4 linked regions of the Cricetulus griseus genome follow. The protein of the gene in region 2 interacts with the protein of the main gene of each other region in a pairwise test. Links are inferred from orthologs where the notes say so. Each region holds a gene or a part of one and is shown on either strand. Other genes may lie near its edges.

Region 1 (4,360 bases), on a different chromosome or scaffold from region 2:
ACCTCACTGCCCCCTGCTTAAGAAGAAAATAAACACATTTTCTGAGGGAAATGAAAATCAGTAAAGAAGCTACTTCCTTGAAAGTACAGACACATACATCATAAGGTCCCAGCTTGGTAAGCGTCCCTGAACTGAACACGCCCCTCTGACCAGCCTGCAGGAACAGCTTGAGCCTGGCTAATCACAGCCCAGCAAACTCTGATTGTTTTCTAACTTTACATAACAGGGACCTGACAGCCTGGACCTCGAGTCTGCAAGCCTCATGGTATTTTACAACCTCAAATATTATAACATGTTTTCTACTTCCTGGTAGGAGCCAACTCCCTGGGGCCTGCCTGCTGTAATCCGGAGAAAATGTTTGTCCTGTTAAACAAACAGCCACGCTCTCCATGGTGACGGTTGGGTAACGGAGGAAAATGTGGCCAGGGCTGTCCAAATAAGGAGGGGAAGGAGGCATTCGGGAGGGGCACTGCCTCACCAGGACACCCCCACATGCTTTTCAGTCCTTACCTATGTTGAGGTACCAAGCTGCAGAACAATAACGTACCAAGATGGCAGCCCCTGGTGGTGGTTGAAGAGGAGCTGCTTGAATGCCTTTGCCCTTGGTAACCTGGGCTGATCCTATTTGATCAGGTGTTGCAGTGAATAGGGCCTGTTTCTCCACAAAGCCCACTGTGCCAAGATAATTAAGTGAGGACTGGTAAGACAGCTCAGTGGGTAAAGACACTTGCTGCGGGGATTGGTGACCTGAGTTTGATCCCTGTAACTGACTCCTTCAAGTTGTCCTGCAACCCCCACACGCACACACCCACAGACCCACAAAGTCAATTGTGTAGCCTCTCTCCCTGCTTCTGTCTTGCTCTGGACTCTAGAGTTGTCTGTAGTGACTGGCTTGTTACTATATTCCATGAGCAAAAGACTTCACATGCGGGCCAGATCCCCACAGGGGAGTACCCTGACTTGGGAATGGGCCAGCAGAGGCTCTACACTTGCTTGTTCTCCCAGGAGTCTACTGGTAGGCAGCTTCTGGCAAGGGTTGGATGAAGAGGACTACAAAGGGCTGGGGGTTATGTGTTTCCAGGCCGCCAATACAGTCATTTCCAAGGGCAACACCAACCTCCAGTGTGGCTCTTTCCTCTGCCTCTATATGCCAGTTTTATCAATCATTCATCAACTTCCCAGCATGGGAGCTCAGGGTTCACTGAGATTGGATGAAATTATACCATTATAATAACAGGCCCCCACACCTTCCAGGGTTTTCTAGAAGGTTCAGTGTTTGAGAGAAGCCACATAATAACAGGAACCCTCACTACTTCCTTGTGCACAGCAGATATGTCTCACACCGTGACATTAAGTGACACCAGGCAGAGCTTCAGAAACTTCTTATCTCTTGGACAGGTGCCCGAGAAAACAGTCCACAGACCCAGAACTCCAAACCCCTGAACTGAATCATATTTCAGAGACTGCCTCCAATGAGGAAACTGAGGCCCAGGGTAAGCCAAGGTTCCCAGTAGCTGCCAGCTGGCTGACGCAGGGCTCCCCTGCTGCTGAGTACTCCAGCCTCCACAGAAAACAGGAGCTGCATCAGCTCTGTACCAGGGAATCACACCAAGATGACAGTGACAGATAACTGCAACCACCCACTATGCCATTCCATGCTGGCACACTGTGCAGCTACCACTAAAATAAAGGAGTCCCTGGCTTCATTAGATTCCAATAACTTAAAAGAAAAGTGACTGTGTGATTTAAAAACCCGAATTATAATTCAAGACTTCTGGCAGACTCTGGTTTCCCTTATCAGCCAAATCCCACCTAGGCCCAGTAGACTAAGGTAGAGTGGACATGTCCTCTTCAGGCTTGCACCTCTGGTAAGCATGTGGACCAAGGAGGAAAAAAACAGATCCTGAGATGGCCAGGCCTGGTTTTACAGTGGCACAGCCTGCCAGCCTGTGTCTGTGCCTCATCGAGCTAGGGGTTACCCTGGACGATTTCCAGGGAGCTTTCTGGCTCTCTGTTCTGTATGAATCACCTTTCCAAACTGGTTCCTTGTGTATACGTTACAGAAACCCTGGCAACCAGGGTTCCTGCAGGGGAAGCAGGCCACCGCCCACCTCTGGGTCCATGTCTGCACTTGGCAGCCAAGGTATGTCCCAAAGGATGACGTGATTGCTCCAACTCAGAGTGGACCCTCACCCCCACACATGCCCAGTCCATCTGGAGTCAGGGATACTGGCAAGGATGCCACAGAGCACAAAGTGGGTGGACCAGGTGGTCTTCCTGACCTCGGGGGCCCCAGGTGTGGCTTGGCACTGGGGGGCTGGCTTGCCCCCTTCCTTCCCCGCGTCACCGCAGGGATCAGCGCCTGTCATCCATCGGTCCTTCCCCAGGATCAGGCTTCACTCTCAGGACTCAACAGGAAGCGAGCTTCTCAAGAGACCCTCTGTGTCCTAGGGACAGTTTGCACTGACCCCGGCGCTCTTGGACATCACCAGTGGAGGGGGTGGGGGATAAAGAAAATCATTTAAAGAAACACCGTCAGACAAGACACCTAACTAATCTTGCCGACCCCTGTGCCTAGACCTGCGAAACGGGGGCAGCAGTGTGCGCCGGGACGAGGGTCAGCGCACGGTCCTGTCTGCTGCATTCTGCCGAGCTGCACCCATTCTCTCGGTCGGCTACTTCTGGCGCAGGACCCCGGCTCCAGCTGTCCGAGCCGCCGGTTACGTAAGCCGCCCGCGGTCGTCCCGGTTCGCGCCACCGCCCGGCGCCGCGCCACTCACCGCTCCGCCGTGTCCGCCCGCGCCTCGGTCCTTCTCTCGGCCCGTCCCTCGGTGCGCCCGGCCTGCGCCGCAGCCGCCCGAAGCCGCTAGTCCCTGTCGCGCTGCCGCGCCGCCGGCCGCCGCCGCCGCCCCGTCGCCCTCCGCTGTCACATAGTGGAAAACGTGACCGCGCGCGCTGCGCCCGCCCCGGCGCCCGCCATTGGTCGCGGCGCCGCCTCATCTGCATACCGGCGGGGCGGGACCTGAGAGCACCGCGCGCCAATTGGCTGAGACGCCCGTCGCTCTCTTTACATAAGACGCACATGGAACTCCATGTTCGCCGCCTCGGTTCCTCAATGAAGAAGCTGCGCGCTCGTGCTCCCCCCCGCGTTCTGGCGAGTGGGCTCGTCCACTTCCGGCCCGCGGGCCTTCCATTCACCTGGCACGGCGGCTGCCCGCTCGTGCCGCGCGGAGTGGCACGTACCACTGCAGCGCGGGGGGGACTGATGCCTGGTGGCTACGCAGTTCGGCCCCCCGCGGAGTCCAGGGGCCGCGGGCCTACCACCTGCGGCGACACGGCCGCCCGGGCGCCCCGCAGAACCGAGAAAGCTCTGTGCTGACACCCTTCGCTCACCCAGCCCAGTTCATTCATTTCTTTTCTCATTCATTCATGGAGAAGCGCCCGAAGACAAACAGGGCGGACCCTCTAGATCTGCCGCTGCACACCCACCCAGGGCATCCTGTGCCCCAGGCTGACGGGTCGTCCCCGCTTCCATGTAGCCTTTCTTGATTTTGAAACCGCGTGTTGCAAGTGTGGATTCAGGAAATAAGGTCATAATTACTGTGCAGAGATACAAAAGAAAGAAGTGATTCCTCCCTGCCCTCAATCTCATAGACAGAAAAGACTTGGCGTTCTAAAACTTTAGCAAATGGGATGCTGTAGTTAATTAGCCTTACAAATAAACTCTACGGAGGCGGGGCACCTGAGGATGGGTAAATGGGGTACGCATCTGGAGAATCAGGACTTTTCCAAGGTGGAAGCTGCAGACACTTGCTAGCCAGGGTAGGGAACTCCCCAGGGATGGGGCAGCCCTGCCCTTGTGGCACCTTGGCTGACGCTATTTGTTCTTTCAAGACCAGTATCTGGAAACGTATTAAGCATGCAGGCTTCTGTCCAAAGGGTCAAAGGAGGGAGCAGAACTTCCGTTGGGACTGGTTTAAGGCCCAAGATTTACCTGTATGACATAGAACAACTTAAAGGCTCTGAAAGTGCAAGGTGTGATGGGGAGACGAAGTTGTCTTTGACAAGTGAAAAGGGTCACTTGGCACTGCCCAGGAGCAGCATCTGCTACTCTGGATCTTCCCCTTGGGCCTCCTAGGAACCAGGGATGGAAAACAAAGCAAACATTATAAACAGAAGCCTGTGAAGGGACTGAGCTGCTGGTCTATACAGCCAGTTAACCCACATTCAAGAATTCCTGTGTGTGAGCCTCTTCTTTCTCTCTGCCTGGCAGAACAGGCATACAGATCCTCAGATGCAGCTGGGGCAGACTAAGTTCACCTCAGCAACTCTTCCCAAGGGGCCCTGGGAAGCCAGATGT
Region 2 (2,726 bases):
GGTGTGTGTGTGTGTGCTACTGAGGATTAGACCCAGGGCCTTACATATTCTGGGCAGATGCTCTCCTACATGAGCCACACCCCTACTATGCGGAGTGTTTGTTACTACTCAGGAGAGGAAAACAAAGAACCGGTGGTTATATTGGTATATATTAGTATAAATGAGGTGACTTTAGTATGAAGGTGCCTAATGGAACCCAGTAGGGAGGGTGACTGGGAGCAGCAGCTAGCCTGTACAACCCAGGGAGCCAGGCTAACATTGATTGGTTGGGCTGTATGCCTTGCAGTACAAATGAATACTTTACATACTATTCTTACTTCCATTTTAAGATGGTAAGATGAAGACAGAAAGGCAAGGTCATGCCCAATATCTCAAAGCTAACAACTGAGAGAAGACAGGCTTTGACTTTGGAACCCATGCTCTTAACTGATGACTCACGCAGCCTAACTTGCAGCAATAAAACCATTAAGTGATACAAACAAATGAGACTCTTTCAGATAACTCTGAAAAATTCCATTTTGCTAGATAAAACCTATTCTTTCATTCAAAATGGTGACATGTGGTTTCTAGTATTTGTCTCTGTAATTTGCATCACATCTCACACAATTCTCTTATCCCAAACAAACAAGATGAAAAAATGAACACCAAGTACACAAGATTCCATATTTGCATAAACTTTAATAACAAAGTCACTTCAGCTATAAATGAACAAAAAATGGGGAGACAAAGAGAACCGAGCACAGCCCAGCAGTGTGAGTGGGAGCAGCTGTACACGCAGCTTTACCAGGCACTGTCCACGCTAACAGAGGCATCGCCTACTCATTGATTCCAGGTGTTTTCTAAAGTGTTACTATCAAACACTGCAGAATTGGTTAAACAATGATGTCAAGAAAAATGTGTCCTAAAATTTTAACAAAGTCTTTTAAGAAAGTCTAAAAACTTCCCATTTTCCTGCAATGACTCTCAAAACTTGAGTTTTATATCAGAATATCTGTTAACTTTAACTTTTACCATACATGAAAAATTATCAAAAATATACTGATGAGTCTATACTAACTGTGACTATATTTACATTAAGCAAACCTTTTGCCAAGTTCTTTATATACAAATTAGCACTTGTCCTATGTGATATTCATTAAAAAGTTAAAAACCACAGAAATGTTATTAGAAATAATATGTTCAAAATCTGTTTTCTGTGAATGAAGGACATTTTTAATAATTTAAATGAAGAGTCCTGACTGGCTCACCAACTTCAGCTGCACCAGAACTCCTCCTTCGTGTTTCCTGTGATTTAAAGGAAAAACCAATGAAAACTTGGCTGTAAGGAGTTAAATAATAAAAAACTGATACGCATTTACTGATTTTAACTTCAAGAAATTCATAATTAGGTGACATAAAAAACTAGGTGATAATGTAAACAGTTTCCAATAACCAAAAATATGAAAAATAATCTTTAAAAACTGGCAAAAGTAGGCCACCAGAGAGACGGCTCAGAAGTTAAGAACACTGGCTGCTCTTCTAGATGTCCTCAGTTCAATTCCCAGCAACAACATGGTGGCTCATAACCATCTGCAATAAAATCTGGTGCCCTCTTCTGGCCTGCAGGGATATGTGCAGGCAGAATACTGCATACATAATAAATAAATAAATAAATAAATAAATAAATAAATAAATAAGCTGGCAAAAGTAGCTAGTAAATACTTTCCTTATTAGGTCACAAAATAGTATCACAAATTCAATTAAATTGGATGTAGACACAATTTCTGATACTTCTAAAAAGGCCCAGCATTGCTTAAAAATTAATGACTTAGGTTTTGGAAGCAGCACAGCAGAGAAGATAATGCATGACCTGAGCATATGGTACGTTTGTGCAATCCTAGCCTTCAGGAAAATGACACAGAAGGACCACTGCAAGTATGAGGCTAGCCTGGACCACTGCAAGTATGACACTAGCCTGTGTATGAGTTCAAGGGTAGCCTGCACTATACAGAGACCATGTCTCAAACCCCTTCTCTCCTTAATTATCAATACTTAAGTAAAGGTTTGAGGTGAAGGTTTTAGAGGAATTATATTAAAGTTTTTGAAATTAGGAGGCTCCTTTGTTTTAGGCTCACAGTCATATCTTATGAAAACCTTGTCTTCCTCAAAACCAAAGCTTTTCAGGGTGAAAGACTGGATTCAGGGAGCATGGTTCTGGGTGCAGTGTTCTGCCCAATACAGGAGCGTCTCTCCTGTTCATTCATGAACAGGGTCTATGACAACTGCTTATATGCCAGAGAATAGAACAGTCCTCATTAGTTATTTCAGGTTAGTTCTATACTAAAGCAGGAGAGAAAACCTAAGTATTTACCATGTCAGTTACTGCTCTGCCGCTGGACTTTGGGATCAACACTCCGTGTCTCCTCTTCCTGACTGGGGCGCTTCCCGCTGCTGAGGCTGGTGCCCATGGAGCTTCTTCCTACACATTTACAAATGCACGTGTGAGGTGGGGCCAGGAGGGGGCGCAGTGATCTTGAGTGCTTGCTTCCCCTTACCTTGCTTTAGCAGGTGAGCTTGCTGACTGTCTCCATGAGCATAATGTAAAATACCACTTCCTTGAGAGCAACCTGTATTTCAAACAAAAGAAAATGACTTAAAAACTTAAGATGTATACATTAGGACTATAAAACCTGTTTTTTTTATAAGTATTTGTATTTAACTTTTCTTAATCTTAACTCTGAGCCAAA
Region 3 (3,681 bases), on a different chromosome or scaffold from region 2:
CTTCCAGGTTAGAATATGCAGAGCACCAAGGAAGGATCAAGAATGCAAGGTAAGTTCCACCTTTGATTTTGTCTATAAAACATCCTAGCTTTTTAGTCGCTTAGAGAATAGCTGAAGAGTCTTGATATGTCTATTCCCAATTGGTGGTGTCATCTTGGGCATTGTCACCTCAGGAAATGAGGAGATGGCAGCAGGTTTCAGCTTGTTTAAGGTTCTGCCCTTGGCTTTCCCTATACTAAGCTGGCCTTCACTTGTTGCTATCTATGCACATTTAACCTGGAGGAAACTTTGGACATAGCAGAAAGTCATTCAGGCTGGAGTTCTCTCCAGTCTTCACAGTTCCTCACTCACTGGCCCTCCAGAAGACATATGGCTGAGATGCCATTCCTGGGCTGGGCCCCACCTCTGATAGGGACCTTTATTGTGCTGCAAGTAGTACCTGAAGGGCAGATCTTAGGCATCCCTGAACCTCAGAGGTCTCCTGACTTAGTTCTTGTCTCAGGCACAATTGCTGATGCCCTTCTGTTGGGTCTTTATGCCTCCCTGCTATCACTGACTAGGGCCAGTTGAGGTTGTGTCATGACACACAGAACCAGAAGCTGCAGACTGTCTAACCTGACACTTCTAGCATCTCCTTTGCAGACCAGTCTATTCAGGGGGCTCTGTGTTTCAGTATCTAATTCTCCATTGGTGATGTTCCCCTATGGGAGGATGGTCAGAAAATACCAGGTGCACATCTTGTAGGAAGTGTCATCCTACCTAAACAGGCAGCCAGTTCAGGGGTAGAGTATGATATGGCATCCCTCAAAGGAAGGCTGGGGACAGACTGAGAATCTGTCACATCTAGGTGGGTCTCAGTTGATCAAAGACCATGTTAGTACTAGTTATATCCTCCAGACAGACATGATGGCTTCAGCAGGGCACACAGTGGGCTGGTCACAGGTGGCAGAGGCACGTGCTGTGGGATGTTGGGTGTTCTGTGGCTGTTTTAGATGCTTGGCTATGTGGAACCTCTTCCTTCCTTCCTTCCTTCCTTCCTTCCTTCCTTCCTTCCTTCCTTCCTTCCTTCCTTCCTTCCTCCTATCCCTTCCAAAAACCTGGTCTTACAGAATCTGAAAAAAAGAACAATGAGGAAAAATAAACAATTCAGTTTGTTGTGAAAGAACAATTGTCATAGATTTTTTTTTCTTAAAAGATGGGGTAAGCATCAAAAACAAATAAATGAAGAAACAAATCAGTTACCTAATTCTGAATTGTCAATGAGAACACTTGGGAGGTGATTTTTAATATAAAAGTCTAATTTGAAACATGGTACAGAGTCTGAATTTCCCATGTCAGAGAATTTTGGAAGCAGTCACAACTCATTTATTTTTGTCAGTGTTGCCTCAATGCTGCCTCACATCTCAAATGAAATCATTCTACCCATGTTCAGGGAGGCCCACAGTCAGATTGAAAAGAGGCGTCGGGACAAAATGAACAGTTTCATTGATGAGTTGGCTTCTTTGGTACCAACATGCAATGCGATGTCCAGGAAGTTAGATAAGCTCACCGTGCTAAGGATGGCTGTTCAGCACATGAAAACATTGAGAGGTGAGATCTCAGGCTTCATTACCTTTATGCCCTTGACCACAAATGTGACCACCCTTGCCTGCACTGTCCCTGACACAAATGGCGATTTTCAGTGTATAACCCTCAGTGATATGCTGGTACATCTCAGCAACAGATAAGGGGCCAAATCAAGTGATTAATGAGCCCATGAGGGTACTGAGGTGTAATTTGCAGTAGTATCTTCTCAGAGCATATAAACATATGAGCTCAAAACCTCTGTGTGCCTGGCTTCCTGCCTACCAGAGAGGGCACCTCTCAAGTCCCCCTTTTCAAGTGCCTGAATCCCTTATAGTGATCAAAATCAGAAGCATAGGAGCACACAGGGAGGCAGGAGAGAGCCTTGGACTTTTAAGAGAAAAACTTACCCTGGTTCTTCTGATGAGTGAGTCACAGGTAGAATGTCTTATTATCAGAAATGAACATTGATGATATTTTCGTCTTCTTGGAATTTTCCCGAACTCGATTGACTCTTCATGAAGGAGGCAGTGTTTTCCTTCTTTGCTAAGTGTGGGGAGGGTGAGAAAACAGAGGCAGTAAAGAAGAGCCAACTTACCAAAGCTGCAGGAGGAACCTGAAATACATCACCCAATTTGGTGGATGTTGTCCCTGGAATTTTCCAGATAGACTTGGGCTTCAGCACAAACTTGGAAAGGGTGCTCAGCCCCATGTGACCTACATGGTGAGAGAGGCACACCTTTGTATCTGTGTAAGGTCACCAGAAACAGGAAGTTGTTTTTGTTCTGACTTTTGATCATTATTAAAAAAATATATAGAAATGTTGCTTGAAGAATGGCATTGAAAACTTGATTTTAGTCAAGAGATGCATCATAATTAGGTAACTAATTGTTATAGAAAATTGGATGGAAAATTTCAAGGGATGTGGATTAAGACATGTGCCTTGTGAGTTGATGTGAAGTACACAGGCATCCCCTTTGCCTCCTTCCCCGCGGGGCCTTGATTTTCACAGATGGGCTGCCTCTTAGCCCTTCACTGTGCCCTCACTGTTCTGCATATACCAGTCATTTGCAGCTGGCACTTGGCTTTGCTAAGCTATTGCTCTGGAGAACAGCAGATCAAGAGCCTTTTAAACAGAAGTCTGGGCCCCTCAGTTCCCAGGACTGAACTGTGTGAATGAAAGTAACATGCTCCCCAGGTTGCCAAGCATATTAACTTTCCCAAGGAAAGTACCCAGGACCTGGCAGCTTGGATGATTTCTCTAGAACCTGCTAAGTGGTGACTTGACAAAATTACTGGATGGCCCAGGACCTTGGACCTCTTTTCCTTGGAACCTGCTAGGGAGACTCAGAGCTGTGGTCTTTGTGGAGTTTTGTTAGTTTGTTTTTGTTTTTTGAGACAGGGTCTCACTATGTAGCTCTGGCTAGCCTGGAACCATGTAGACCAGACTGACCTCAGTCTCAGAGACCTACCTACCTCTGACTTCTGAGTGCTGGGGTTGAAGGTGTGAGCTACCATGCCTGTTTCCCCGGTAATTAGGAAAGTGCACTTACTCAGTCTCCTGTGGGCAGCAGCATTCTCTTTTCACTGAGGTTCTACTTTGGCATGATAGGATTCTGAGCCAAGCCAGATCCACCATGTTTTGATTCAGCCCAGGTTGCAGGCAGGGGAACGTGATGCTGTCTAAATAGAAAAATCTGCCCACTCTTTCTTTTTCTCCCCAAGGTGCCACGAACCCATACACAGAAGCAAACTACAAGCCAACATTTCTATCTGATGACGAATTGAAACATCTAATTCTCAGGGTATGTGGCAGTTGTGGGAACTCTTTTCACGGCATTGGTTTCTTAATAAGTTTCAGAGTAAGTACATCATGAAGGAGTCTGACATCTCGACACTGAATTCTCCTGGGCCCTCTTCCTCTCTTGTTTCCCCCACTTTATCTTGGTTTCTAGACACATTTCACATTCCTTCCATGAAACCAGTCACTCACCTACCTCTCAATATCACTTAGGCAAAGAAGGGAAAGTCTACAGTAGTGTGACTTTTAAGCCAGAGAAGGATTTTTGTTAAAAAGGGGAGTGAGGGGCTGGAGTGATGGCTTAGTGGTTTAGAGCA
Region 4 (4,392 bases), on a different chromosome or scaffold from region 2:
CATTTACTGTATTCTCAGCAGTAATGCAAGTCAGTCAGTTTGTGTCAGGACCTGACACACAGCAGACTGGCGCTAAACATGATGACTTTGTTTCTATCAAGGATAGGTAAGGGAGAGGGAGCCTCGGGAGGACGGGAAGCAACAAATTACAATTTTAAAAAGAAAAGTAGAGCACTGATTCATAAAAAAGAGAGCAGGGGCTTGATTTGGAGGAATAACGTGCCAGTCTGGGTCTATCCAGACCTGTGCTGAGCAGTTCTTCCAGGGTTCCCTGGAAACCTAGATGGCAGGTGAAGAGGCCACCAAGCAGCTGCTGACATAATCAGCTGTAAGTGCACGCCCCTCTCTGTCACGTGGCTAAAGCTTTCCTTAACAATAGTGTTTCCCTTGGAGGAGGCGGAGGGGCAGGGATTTGTAAAAAAGCTGGGACACAGAAGTGTTATAAAATAACCCAGAAAAAAAAAAAAAAAACAGAAGCAGGAAAACGGAAAACAAAAGACACAGGCACCTGAATCCCCAGCTTCCTCTTCCTGAAAATGATGCTGCTTTCCTGCCCCCTCGTACTGTGTGTGACCCTGTTCTCTCCTTTTTTTGTTTTCAGACCCCTTTCTCCCTCCACAGCTCTCAAGGATTTAGGTGTGATTCCTCTGACCCAAACAGCCATTGCTCACCCACCTCCGTATCTGCCATTTACACAGACAAAAGGTTCAGCACTCCAACAGCCCCCACCTAGTCCCAAGGCCCAGGTTGTCAGGTCTGACGGTCCCCACAGTAACCAGGCTCTGCTGCCGTCAATGGAGAAGAGGGGGCGGGAGACAGTGGTGACGTCAAAGCGGAGGAAGGAGGCGGGGCGAGGCAGCCGGGGAATGTGGGGCAGGGAGGCTGGAGAGGCAGCGGTTTGGGAGGCAGCCAGCCCCAGAGGGCGGCGGCCAGCGCACTAGGGAACATCGTGTTCTCTTGGCTGGTGGCCCAGGACATGCACTCAGACTTGGCGCCTCCCCCAACCCAACGACAGCCGTCCTGTACAAAAGCCAGGGATTCCTGGAGAGACGGTTAGGAGAAAGGGGTCCCCCTTCCCTACCCCCATGCCTGGCTCTCTTTTCCGGACTTGGCGTTTGTGGGCCCCCAGCTGGTTCTTACAGCTCCTGGCGTTGGCTTTTCCCTTTCACCAAACTGTACACAGCTGCTGGCCAGGTACCAAAGAGCCACCGCGGGTAAATCGGAGGCCCAGGTTCAGAGAGGGAACGCGCACCTTTGCTCCTTCCCAGAGGCCCCCTTCAGAGGCGGAATTTCTAGTTACTATTACAACACAGAATGGGGGTGGGTTGGGGAGAATGCATTTAGAATAAGGAAGTCAAACTGGGACAGTGCAAGTAGCCTCAGTCTGGAGCCCAGATCTTGGGAGAGGAATACAGGGGAGGAATGATGGAATTTGGGTTGGTGCCTGCAGACCAGAAAAATCAGGAAGAGGGAAAAGAGGAGTCATCAAAACTTGCAGAAAAACAGAAGATGAGGGTTAGCTCTATCACTATTGCTTAGTTACCTTATAGTTTGTGTTTTAAATGACCCAAGCGTGGGCTTCGTATTTTATGTATACTGTTTTTTTAAGCCCCAAAACAACTGAATGAAGGTAGCTATCACTCTTATTTCATGAGGGATAACTAAGACTTAGTAGTCACTAAACTTGCCTTAATTGTCTGCTTCATAAACATGTTCTCAGCTTCTTAATAATGGAGCCCAAGGTTCAAGCTCTGATGATGTCTTGTCCTGGCTTCTTACCCTCAGGGACCCTCTGAAAGTGTTACTAACCCTCTACTCTGCATTCCAGCACCGTCAAACCAGGACTTCTCACATATTTCCCTAGTTCTAAGTTTGGTGCCTAGAATACAAGCTTCATCCAGTTCCTTCTTCCTTTCCGCATGATCTAAAGGCATTGTTTGTACTCCACACACACCACCACCGTTCATTTTTTTTACTATGCTCAAAGGCCTTGAAATCATCCGAGAAGTCTCCAGCCACTATTACAGGAACCTGTAGGAACCTCACTTCCTCCCTCTCCCACCTCAACCAGGCCTGTCTAGACAGCAGAGCAGCCTTTTGGTGCCTCCTCACCTCTGGCAAGTCGAGAAGAGTGGGCAAGCCGGTATATAGAAACCCTCTACCCTATTCTCCCTTTCAGAATCCAATAAATCGCTAGCTCATTTCTGTTTACAAGCATGTACCTGAGACCCCAACGCTATCCTTTCCACGTGAAAAAGTAACCCATGGTCGTGATGAGATAGCTTCCGAGTCACACAAATCAGCACACCAACCTTTCTCAGAATACCATCCCACATTCCCACCTGCCCTACCAGGGCCTTTCTCCAGGCTCAGACTCTGCCTCTCCAAGTATTTAGGGAGCCTACCCAAACCTTAACCAACTCTCAGGCGTCCTATCGCAGGCCCTTCAGCTCCCTCGGGTGGCTGAGGGCTTCTGAGCACTCTAGGCTAGGCAATAGGGTCTAGGGACCCTAGAGAGCTGAGAGATGTATGCTAGTAACTCCCATCCATGTTCCCCTAGAGCTGAGTTTGCAGTCCACAACCGTCAAGCACTCCTATTGCAACCATCGCGCATTTGCATGATCACGCACACACACACACACCACGCCACTGACACCCCTTTTGGCCGAGCAATCCTCCCGGGAAAAACCCATTTCGACCGCCCCAGAGTAGGGGGCTACTCACAGTTCCGATCGCACGCAGAATCCAAATTTCTTCACTACTTGGGAAGCTACTCCACAGGCTCCTCCAGGCCTTCCCACTGCCCATTCTGTCACGCCTCCCAAGCTTATTGGCTTACAGGCGCCAACCCATGCCCCGCGCCGCGTGCAGCCGACAAGCCCCTGCAAAGCCACCATTGGCACTTCAGGGCGCAGTCATCTTACCATTGGGCAACATGACAACCGGTAGTGATAGAGCCACGTGAGGGAGGGGGCGCCCCAGCGCGTTGATTGGACATCTGACCGGAAGCCACACCTCTCGCCCACTCCCAAAGCTTTTATTGGCTGTGGAAACAGCCCCGCCCTGCCTAAATCGGTGACGCAAATGCCAGCCCTGCCCTAAAAACTTTCTCATAGGCTGAGAGGTCTCGGAGATGTAGGGAACACGTGCGGGCCGGCTCACGCGGCAACTTGTTTACCGAGAAGCTGGGGATTTTCCTTGACGACACTTACCCAAGACTGTGGAGTCTGCGCAGGCCTGCCGAGCGACTTGTACGCAGGCGTAGATGTGACAGGCTATGGCGTAGTGGGGATACTTAGTAGAGACCCTGCCAAGACAAGAGGCTCCTGGTGCCCGAGTTTTGTGTCTCCGATTATCCCCAAAGCTTAAATCTGAACATAAGAAGAGGTCTTTAGATTGCATGACGATGATAGTGAAAATGACAGTCGCCTCCTGTTTTCTGTATCAGACGCTTCTTGCAGACTCCTGATGACTACTCATAACCTCACAGAGACTGAGATGCAGGGGTTACATAATCTGTCAGAATTCCCATGTTAACATGTTGATTTAAAAGCTCTGACACCGTGAAGGTAGGTCGGTGTCTTAGGCCTATGGAAACCTTAAGCCTAGAAGTAATTTCAGGGATTAAATGCAAAAAGCCTAACGTATTTAAACTCTCCCATAAAGATAGAAGTTACGGTGGAGTATTGCTAAATACAAGACACCTGGGCACCTTAGAACCTCTAAAATAATGTCCAATGAAAGGGCCTGAAAAAAAATTTTTTTTTGGTTTTTTTTGTTTGTTTGTTTTTTCAAGACAGGGTTTCTCTGTGGCTTTTGGAGGCTGACCTGGAACTAGCTCTTGTAGACCAGGCTGGTCTCGAACTCACAGAGATCCACCTGCCTCTGCCTCCCGAGTGCTGGGATTAAAGGGGTGCACCACCAACACTGGTGGGGAAAAAAAATCTATTTTTTAAAGTACCTCTAAACCGGGCAGTGGTGGCACATGCCTTTAATCCCAGCACTTGGGAGGCAAAGGCAGGCAAATCTCTGAGTTCAAGGCCAGCTTGGTCTACAGAGCAAGTTCCATGACAGCCAGGGGCTACACAGAAAAACCTTGTCTTGAAAAACCAATTTAAAAGAAAAAGTACTTCTAATAGTTCTTATTTCTTGGTCAGGTTTGTTATAGCACATGCCTTTAATCGAAGCTCGAGGGAGGCAGAGAGGCACTTGAAATCAAGGGCAGCCTGGTCTAATAATGAGTTCCAGGACAGTCAGAGCTTCATAGTTGAGACCCTGTCTGCCCCCCCCCCAAAAAAAAAAACCCAAATGTTATTTTATTTTATTTAGACAGGGTCTCATTATGTTGATCAGGCTGGCCTCAAACTCAGAAATCAGCCTGCCTCTGCCTCC

The links.
Region 1: the proteins of Cry1 (region 2) and Per2 interact in a two-hybrid assay, tested with the Homo sapiens proteins (5 studies listed by BioGRID, with this or other methods). The link is inferred for Cricetulus griseus from reciprocal best matches to the Homo sapiens genes CRY1 and PER2.
Region 3: the proteins of Cry1 (region 2) and Arntl interact in a two-hybrid assay, tested with the Homo sapiens proteins (3 studies listed by BioGRID, with this or other methods). The link is inferred for Cricetulus griseus from reciprocal best matches to the Homo sapiens genes CRY1 and BMAL1.
Region 4: the proteins of Cry1 (region 2) and Per1 interact in binary tests that used the Homo sapiens proteins (3 or more experiments, as listed by UniProt). The link is inferred for Cricetulus griseus from reciprocal best matches to the Homo sapiens genes CRY1 and PER1.

Annotation. Positions count from the first base shown.
Region 1 is NC_048595.1:442,981,528-442,985,887, forward strand, and holds the start of Per2 (period circadian protein homolog 2), read right to left. Parts: upstream 2,933-4,360; 5' UTR 2,781-2,932; intron 1-2,780. UniProt on the Homo sapiens protein: Transcriptional repressor which forms a core component of the circadian clock.
Region 2 is NW_023276806.1:150,312,122-150,314,847, reverse strand, and holds the end of Cry1 (cryptochrome-1), read right to left. Parts: intron 2,607-2,726; coding exon 2,535-2,606; intron 2,459-2,534; coding exon 2,355-2,458; 3' UTR 2,351-2,354; intron 1,285-2,350; 3' UTR 659-1,284; downstream 1-658.
Region 3 is NC_048596.1:87,402,529-87,406,209, reverse strand, and holds part of Arntl (aryl hydrocarbon receptor nuclear translocator-like protein 1), read left to right. Parts: intron 1-7; coding exon 8-49; intron 50-1,432; coding exon 1,433-1,590; intron 1,591-3,288; coding exon 3,289-3,368; intron 3,369-3,681. UniProt on the Homo sapiens protein: Transcriptional activator which forms a core component of the circadian clock.
Region 4 is NC_048600.1:82,966,574-82,970,965, reverse strand, and holds the start of Per1 (period circadian protein homolog 1), read right to left. Parts: upstream 2,929-4,392; 5' UTR 2,725-2,928; intron 851-2,724; exon of another isoform or gene 676-850; intron 1-675. UniProt on the Homo sapiens protein: Transcriptional repressor which forms a core component of the circadian clock.